2 linked regions of the Neurospora crassa OR74A genome follow. The protein of the gene in region 1 purifies or fractionates together with the protein of each later gene. This does not show direct contact. Links are inferred from orthologs where the notes say so. Each region holds a gene or a part of one and is shown in the gene's direction. Other genes may lie near its edges.

Region 1 (4,506 bases):
TCGAATTCGACAGATCAGGGTTCAGTGACATGGCAGACAGATGGAATGAGAAGGGGATTATCCTCATAAGCCTCGTTTCCCAATCGCTGAACCGTATCGCACATACACAAAATCCGTGCACGACGTGATGTGCTCAGCGGCGTGATACCATATCAATTGTAGAGATTCTCATGGTCTTTCCCGTACCTTTGCTGATACGCTGTTGCTAATTCTGGCCCGGGACAGTTCAGTGGGTTTCCAACATCTTGTTTTTGCAATCACTCAATCGGTCTCGTGTTGACAGAAGCCATTAATCGCAGTGACTGCGCATTCGTAGCGCATGTAGTAGTGTTGTGTGTACGAAGTCGGTAGTGTGTGTACGGAATATGGAGATGTTAGCGAGGTAGGCACTACACTACGCAGTACATTGCTTCTTCTTCTTCTTCTGTTCCTGACCCGGAGGTACGGACGAAACGGGGCTCGACACGGCTCCAGCGCAAAAACATGGCCGCGTTGGGATGCCGACTAGCCTTTGCCCAGAGATCCACTCTTTGAGCTAAGTCAGGAGAACCAAGAAACATGAAAACTGGAAACGCTTTTTTTCATTCGACCGACAATGGCTGTTATCGGCTGGCCAAATTTCAAACGGTCAGGATGGGCAGTCTTGGGGTAAAATTCGCCCACCGCCATGTGGCCATCCCCTTGGTGATCGCATGGGATGGGCCGGACTGGAGCGAGGAACTGGAGCAGAAAAGGGCGATTGTCGAAATGCAAAGGGTGATGATGGTGGCCAGTGGTGTCCGCCGTTTTTGTTCCATTCCATGTCATGCCAGGTACGGATGCCACTGGAGGCCAGGCCAGGGGCACACGTCGGGTGGGCGATGGATCAAAATGGATAGAGAGGGTCTCGAAGGGGGTGGGCGATGTTACGCTCTTTCCACCGTCGACGCGGTGCATGAACATGAACAGCAGCCTAGAGTAGCATCCACTCACAATGTTTGGAACTAGGAAGCCAGGCACAGGGCAAGGCAGCCAGTCGCAAAGCAACCTCAAAGGGCAAAGCCGTGTTATCAAAAAAAGAGGTTCAAATAGGACGAAAAGGGTCAATGATGGTCGTACAGGTCGGCATCCAAACGAGGAGGAGGAGTCCATCGTCCCAACTCCCAAGACCGGCAGCCCAGGGTCTGTTGCATTGGCCCACTTGCATGCACGCAACGACCGCCTCTGATTAGCCAGAGTGCCATCGCGGCTGGAGCCCATCTCACCTTGGAGAGTGCGCGGTGGGTCTCTGCTGGGTCGCTGCCCCCGAAATTCACTGATGGAACTGGGACTGGAAATCGGAGTGCCGTCTAGCGTAGTGCCTGTACTGTGCGCCTGCCCGATGCCTGTACGCACTACGCAGTCAGCACCTACGCATCAGTGCTGGAGTGTGCCTGGTCGCCTGGTTTGGGTCTGGTGTGAGAGTGCGCACCATTCCATTTCACTCACATTAACACCGACAAAGCCAACCTCCCATTCCTCCACCAATTCCCCAATCTTTCCCTTCCTTTCGTTTTCCGTTTTCCGGCTCGACAACCTTCCTCCCGCAAACCGCGAATTGCTGAGAGAGTCCAGCAGCAACTCTACTCTTGGCCGCCTACCTCGCGACAATCACCTACCTATCGTATGGTCTTGACGACTTTCTAATTATCGAGCTGCACCCGTCTCTCCCTTTCGCACCAACCGATCCGACGCTCCCCTTCCAATCAAGTGCGGTTGATTGAAGGCCTAATTGCAATTGCGTGGTATACTGCCGGAAAAAAAAAAGTGAGTAGGTTCGCAACATAAGCACTTCATTCAGTCCAGTCCACCGCAAGAGAACGAACGCCTTTGCATCCCATTATCCTCTGGCCTCGTCGTGCTGCCCTCAAAGGCTGTCTGTCCTGTTTGCTGCCCATCAATCGCACCTCACCGAGCGCTGCCATGCCCAACAATCGACACCTTCGAAACTGCATCGACCATCGAGCCTCGATCCGACATTTGTTTGCGGTTTCAATGGGCGCAATGACAGCGACTCCGAGGCTTTTCGGGGGTGGTGGTTCTAGCTCGTTTCTGGAAGGGCACCCGCTATTTTTCGCAGCGGAGACTCCAACTGGACTGCCTCCCGTCCCCCCAGAGACCAGGGGGTTCTCGCCCCCCCTAACACTTACAAATACAAATCGCCTGTCGACGTCCCAGTTCGTCTCAATTATCATCGCTCTGATACTAACCTCAAACTCGTCACCAGACCGTCGATAATAATCCCCGAATAACGAAACAGACACTCTCTATCATTGCTACGAGCTACAACAAGTCGCCAAAATGGGTTGCGGAATGAGTACAGAGGAGAAGGAGGGCAAGGCCCGGAACGAGGAGATTGAGAACCAGCTCAAGAGGGATCGCATGCAACAACGCAATGAGATCAAGATGCTTCTTCTGGGTATGTCATGCCCCCCGACAAGCCAATTGCTGGCGCGGCCCTGGTCCGGACCCTTGGGTCACCAATGAAATTTCACAGAAGCTGACAATATGTTGCAGGTGCTGGTGAATCCGGAAAGTCGACCATCTTGAAGCAGATGAAGCTTATCCACGAAGGAGGTTACTCGCGCGACGAGCGCGAGTCGTTCAAGGAAATCATCTTCAGCAACACTGTGCAGTCCATGCGTGTCATTCTCGAGGCCATGGAGTCCCTAGAGTTGCCACTCGCCGATCAGCGCGTCGAGTACCATGTCCAGACCATCTTCATGCAGCCCGCTCAAATAGAAGGTGACGTGCTGCCTCCTGAGGTTGGCAATGCTATCGAGGCCCTCTGGAGGGACGCTGGCGTCCAGAGCTGCTTTAAGAGGTCAAGGGAATACCAATTGAACGACTCGGCAAGATAGTAAGTCTCCGCATGATGAGGGAGGCTCTGGTCTCCAACCGCTAACATGCTGTCACAGCTACTTCGATAACATCGCTCGTATCGCCGCGCCCGACTATATGCCCAACGACCAGGACGTTCTGCGATCACGTGTCAAGACAACCGGTATTACGGAAACGACCTTCATTATTGGCGATCTTACGTACCGTATGTTCGATGTCGGTGGCCAGCGTAGCGAACGTAAGAAGTGGATCCACTGCTTCGAGAACGTCACCACCATTCTTTTCTTGGTCGCCATTTCCGAGTACGATCAGTTGCTTTTCGAAGATGAAACCGTCAACCGTATGCAGGAGGCCCTTACTCTGTTCGATTCCATCTGCAACTCCAGGTGGTTCATCAAGACATCCATCATTCTTTTCCTCAACAAGATCGATAGGTTTAAGGAGAAGTTGCCGGTCAGCCCGATGAAGAACTACTTCCCCGATTACGAGGGTGGTGATGACTACGCTGCCGCTTGCGACTACATTCTCAACCGCTTCGTCAGTTTGAACCAGCACGAGACCAAGCAGATTTACACGCATTTCACATGCGCGACGGATACCACACAAATTCGTTTCGTCATGGCTGCGGTCAATGGTATGTTATTTGTCTACTTCGAAATTTTGCGTGGACAAGAAGCTAACAGACCAAAACAGATATCATTATCCAGGAGAACCTGCGTCTCTGCGGTTTGATTTGAGCACTGAACGCAATCTTTCTAATTTTTTCATCAGTTAATGGGGCTGTGAGGTCCGGACAAGCGGTTGATACCGATCAGAACTTCGAGTATTGCCGCCCAGTCGCTGCCGCTGGCTCCATGCCCACAGTTTCTGCCTCCAGATTATGATCTAGTGGAGGTGGCGTGGGCTTTCGAGTGGATATGAGCTCTACATACACCTCGGGGCGTCCCTGGAGAAATTGCATTTGAGAAGCATCATCAAGAGGGGGGCTAACTATTTTGTTTAATCATGATTCCCCATCGACCTTGGAGTCTTTGCTCTCTATCGGTGTTCTGTACGATTTCTTTTTTTTCTATCATCTTTTCTATCCCCTCTGATCCGGGCGCTTTTCACCTTGCTCTTTCTCCTCAGGGACACCGCGGCTGCTACGGGAAGCAAAAGCCCCTCTCAACAAAAGAAATGGATGATTTTGGCGTGCGTGCTTTTCTCAATCTTACTCGGGTGTTTTTCCATGAGTGGTGTGGGAGAAAGTAATGGGATCCAAGCCCATGGGTTCTGGGGAGAGGATGCTGGAAACAAATAGGTCGCTACCGATTGGAGGGAAGGTAGAGAAGGGAAAGGCGAAGAAAGAGCAGGGGTTACCAAAACCACGACGGACGAAGAGATGAGCGACGCCCGTTTCGTTCCGCTATTCTCCCCTCTGTGGCTGTAAGAGGGCAAAGAAAAACAGAGGGCGGGAAACGTTGCGGCGCGCGCGCGCGTGCAGCAAACGATATACCAAGACAAGCGAGGTCTCTTTTCCTTTTTTTTACTCTACTTCTTCTGTTTTTTCCAAGAAAGCTTATTCGCGTGATGTGTTATCTTTGTTTTTGCAGGCGGCGTGGGAGAGGGGAGCAATGGCGGTCCCGGTTTCCTATGGGCAACGCAACG
Region 2 (3,821 bases), about 760 kb from region 1:
CCCGCCTTGACCGATGACGGACCGTCGGCGGTCTTGCCAAGCTTTCTCACGGCTGTCATCGACGAAATTGCACTTTGAGGCTTAGTTGGAACTTGGAACAGAATCGTGGTGCGAACTTCGGTCGAGTATTGAGAAGATAATCCCCAGTAAGAACATATATCCTCCTAAAAGGCATATGATATCGCTGCTTGAACTGCTAGAGTGGCTGCAAACTCTTCTCCTGTAGCTGAATGCACACCAGCAACTGCATAGGACTTCACGGTCTGTGATTACTGTAGTGTACATACATACATACATACATACATGCAGAAACAGGAGGCTCTCCTCTGTACCCTCGTCGTCCCACCCAGAGCGTTCAAGCTCGCGTCCATCATCGGTCGGAGCAAGTGGGCACCCACCCAATGGCGCCATTCCCAATCCCGTCCGGAGATGCCTGCTGAGCCGGGGTGGTTCCGCTAGACCATCAAAGGGGGGACGATAAAGTGGGGGCGGAACCCGTCGTGTTCTGACTGCCCTGCATTTGCCATTCTTGCTGCAGCTTTCATGCACAGCAGCACCGACAGATCCAAAAAAGGTCCCGTCGGTTGGTCGGACTAGTCCTGTCCCTGCCTATCCAGCGGCGGTGGCAGCAGTCCATCTTCAACGGCCTCCATCGTGCTTTTCTTTTCCTAGATCTTGACCTCCAGTCCCGCTTCCAGAAGCTTGCAACAATGTCAATCACAATGGCACGGATGGGGCAGGACAATAGGGAGGCCGGCACCTCATCCTGAATGCGGAGCTCGTGGTGATACTTGCTATCTTGTCTTGATACTAACTCGTCTGCACCCATTCCGTCTACGGTCGTAGTTAGTGTCGAGTTAATCTAACCAAACCCTGCTAAGCGACCCCCTGGTCCGTCTCATTTGCACTTGGCCCTTTTTTTCCTCGTCGCCCTGGGTTGCTTTGGCTGCCCAGAAGAGGAGTGCAGCACCGAAAGCGACCAGCATTGCAGCAGTGCAAGTGCAGGTAAAAGCGCAGCACTGCAGCAGGCCAAGCAGGGGGAGACTGGGGCGTCCATGCCTGCTGGGGAATTGCACGGACTGCACCCGCCTACCGAACCGTTCCCTGCTGCGCTGCTACTGGTTCTACAGGCTGCGCACTGACCCCCGTCGCGGTCCGGGGCCCGCCAGTGGCACTGAAGGAATGAAGGAACTTCCATATGGGCGCCCCTTCTCTTCCCAAGACTTGCTATTAGGAATCGTCAATCGTGTGTCGGTCCTAAGCATTCCTGGCATCGTTGTCCGCAATTCCTCCCTCTCTTCAATCCTCGGGACAGTCAATGATCCATTTGCGCCTTCTCCGACCCTTCGCTTAACCCAACTATCGACTGTCGACATCATCACCTTTTCCCCGTTGCGTGCCAGGAGGTTGCCCTTTACCAAGAGTATCTGGTATGTATTCGCGATTTCTGATCGTTCCCTCTGCTTGCCGCAATTTTTCCAATTGCTCCATCGCGGCCGTCGCCCTTCATTTTTCACGTCTGGCACCTCCGTCCGTCCCCTTCGTGGCCGCCTAATCGCCAGCCGTCAGTAGCAAGGACAGAGGACCGCCGGGGGAGAAGTCCGAACTCCAACTCTTTTTCCATCTCGCCCTCACCCCCCCGACACGAGCAAGCATCAGCGCGACCCCGACCACCGACTGGAGTGAATGAATGGCGATTGACGACGACATCTGAACAACACGGCTGACACGACATGTCTAAACAGCTTAATTCCTATCGTTAAAGACCCACAGCACCACCGACCCCGAGTTCTACTTGCGACCCTTCCTCACCACCAAGCCTGTCCGAACTACTAGTTGTCGGCTTTTGTCGCAGCACCATTGTCGCCCACGTCCCCGACGACACTCCAACACTCCTTTAATTCCCACCCTGGAGTCGAGGCTTCGATAATATCAGCCAAAATGCCTCAGTACGCCTCTCGCGATGTCGGCGACCCGTCGCAAATCAAGAAGAACAAGCAAAGCATGGCCGATCTAAAACTCCGTCGATTGACCGAACTCAACAACCGACTACGTGAGGACTTGGAAAGGGAGAGGATTCCGGTTAGCCAGGCAGCCAAGAGGTGAGAACTGCCATTCGTTGTTGCTCGGGTCGTTCGGCAACATGTGCCGGTCGTGGTTCAATGAGGCTGACAGTCGTTTCTTTTCCCCTATATAGCATAATCACCTACTGCAACAGCACACGAGACTACATGGTACCAAGTGTTTGGGGGCCGGTGCCCAAGTCCGAAGACCCGTATTTGCCACAACAGAGCAGCGGGTGCTGCGTCGTCATGTAAATTGCCAACTGCGAAAAGCTACGACATCAATGCGGCGACAAAAGGGGAGGACATTCGAGTCACTCTGTTTAGCACGGGCGATCAGTTCAGCGTTTCGAAACAGCGATTCCTACGAAAGTCTTTTGGAGGGGCGGACACCGTCGTTTGCAAGCGGGATTGGATCCGGACGGAGTTGGTTTGGAAGGCCGAGAACGTTATCGGAGATTATGAGCGATCAGATGTGCATCATCGGGACGGAAAGAAGTCGGCATTGTTTGCGGTTCGTCCTTTTCGCCGCCATTATCACGATACGTCAAACCGGGGAGAAAGGTTTTGAGGAGTGAAGACACGACGGCTGGCCTGACCATAATGCTTATTCAAATACCCCCCATCCGTTACTTCGGATCTACGGCAGGCAGGCTCGGCAGACTCTTCAGCATGTAATACCTTTTTATTTTTCTATATTTTCTTTCCCTTTTTTTTGCTTCTTATTCCCCGGTTGTACTCTTTTATACTCGGCCTTCTCGATTCCCTTTTTTGTCTTTTACATGTGTATATCCTGCTTCATGAAGCGCTTTTCGCGCGGCTTCCTCTTCTGGGTCTGGAAAGGAAGGGGCTTACGACATGATAAGTGAGGCAAATGAAATGCACTAGACTATCGATTTTACTCAAACTGATGATATTTGAATGAATGCATCAAAATAGCTCCAGTTTCCTCATCAACGGAATTTGATATCCTATGTGATGGATTGCTGCAGTTGGGTCGAGAGATAGACATTGAAAAATGTCTCTATCAGTGCACTTAACGGTTGGTAAATCCTCACATAGTAGTAATCCATTTTGGGGATCTCGCACTGGTTGTTGATGAACTCATGTTTAGTTCGGAGGCGTGATGACGCACAGGCGATTCGGGGTGCGGAACCCATCCGATGGAGCTGAGTAGGTATGTACAGCTCCAGGATTTAGCCGTTTCTCGTGTGGACTTCCCTCCAAATCACATGAACTCCCACTTACACGCCGCCACCTAAAACCGACCAGAGTGAGAAAAACACGCAAAGTCCATAACAATCAAGAGGCCTCCATCTACGCGAATATATATACATGTACATCACTCTCATTCTTGACATAGCATTTCCCAGTACACACAAGGATAATGGACCAATCTCCTACTACTACCAGTGCCTCGACTCCAACTTTACTTCCTCGTGTTACCATCCGCTTTTGTACGCAGTGCAAGTGGATGCTTAGGGCAGCATATGTGAGTAGAAAGTTTCCTGAAGATATCAAGTACTTTTCAGACGCTTCGAGTCTCGCCACTGTCATCTATTCACCGTCTCGGAAGAGGGTTTCTGAATTCCCTAACCCCCACCTCACCCTCCCACTTCACCTATACCATTCATCATCCACACTTTCACCAATCGCGTTCCCGTTAAATACACATGAATCACATGAACCTCAGCTACATCTCCAAAAATTCTAACCCCCCTTCTCAAATACAGTACGCCCAAGAACTCCTCTCAACCT

Evidence for each region.
Region 2: the proteins of gna-1 (region 1) and gng-1 purify together in Saccharomyces cerevisiae (affinity purification with western blotting; 3 studies listed by BioGRID, with this or other methods). This does not show direct contact. The link is inferred for Neurospora crassa OR74A from reciprocal best matches to the Saccharomyces cerevisiae genes GPA1 and STE18.

What each region holds. Positions count from the first base shown.
Region 1 is NC_026503.1:1,614,143-1,618,648, reverse strand, and holds the start of gna-1 (heterotrimeric G protein), read left to right. Parts: upstream 1-1,391; 5' UTR 1,392-1,785; intron 1,786-2,245; 5' UTR 2,246-2,319; coding exon 2,320-2,437; intron 2,438-2,535; coding exon 2,536-2,878; intron 2,879-2,936; coding exon 2,937-3,493; intron 3,494-3,552; coding exon 3,553-3,596; 3' UTR 3,597-4,506. UniProt on the Saccharomyces cerevisiae protein: Alpha subunit of the heterotrimeric guanine nucleotide-binding protein (G protein) that mediates mating pheromone signal transduction.
Region 2 is NC_026503.1:2,378,124-2,381,944, forward strand, and holds gng-1 (guanine nucleotide-binding protein subunit gamma), read left to right. Parts: upstream 1-1,250; 5' UTR 1,251-1,430; intron 1,431-1,745; 5' UTR 1,746-1,941; coding exon 1,942-2,102; intron 2,103-2,197; coding exon 2,198-2,318; 3' UTR 2,319-3,006; downstream 3,007-3,821. Other genes in the region: NCU00042 (selenoprotein domain-containing protein), read left to right, coding at 3,451-3,555, 3,797-3,821. UniProt on the Saccharomyces cerevisiae protein: Implicated in the pheromone A- and alpha-factor response pathway. The beta and gamma chains of the putative yeast mating response pathway G protein play a positive role in initiation of the mating response.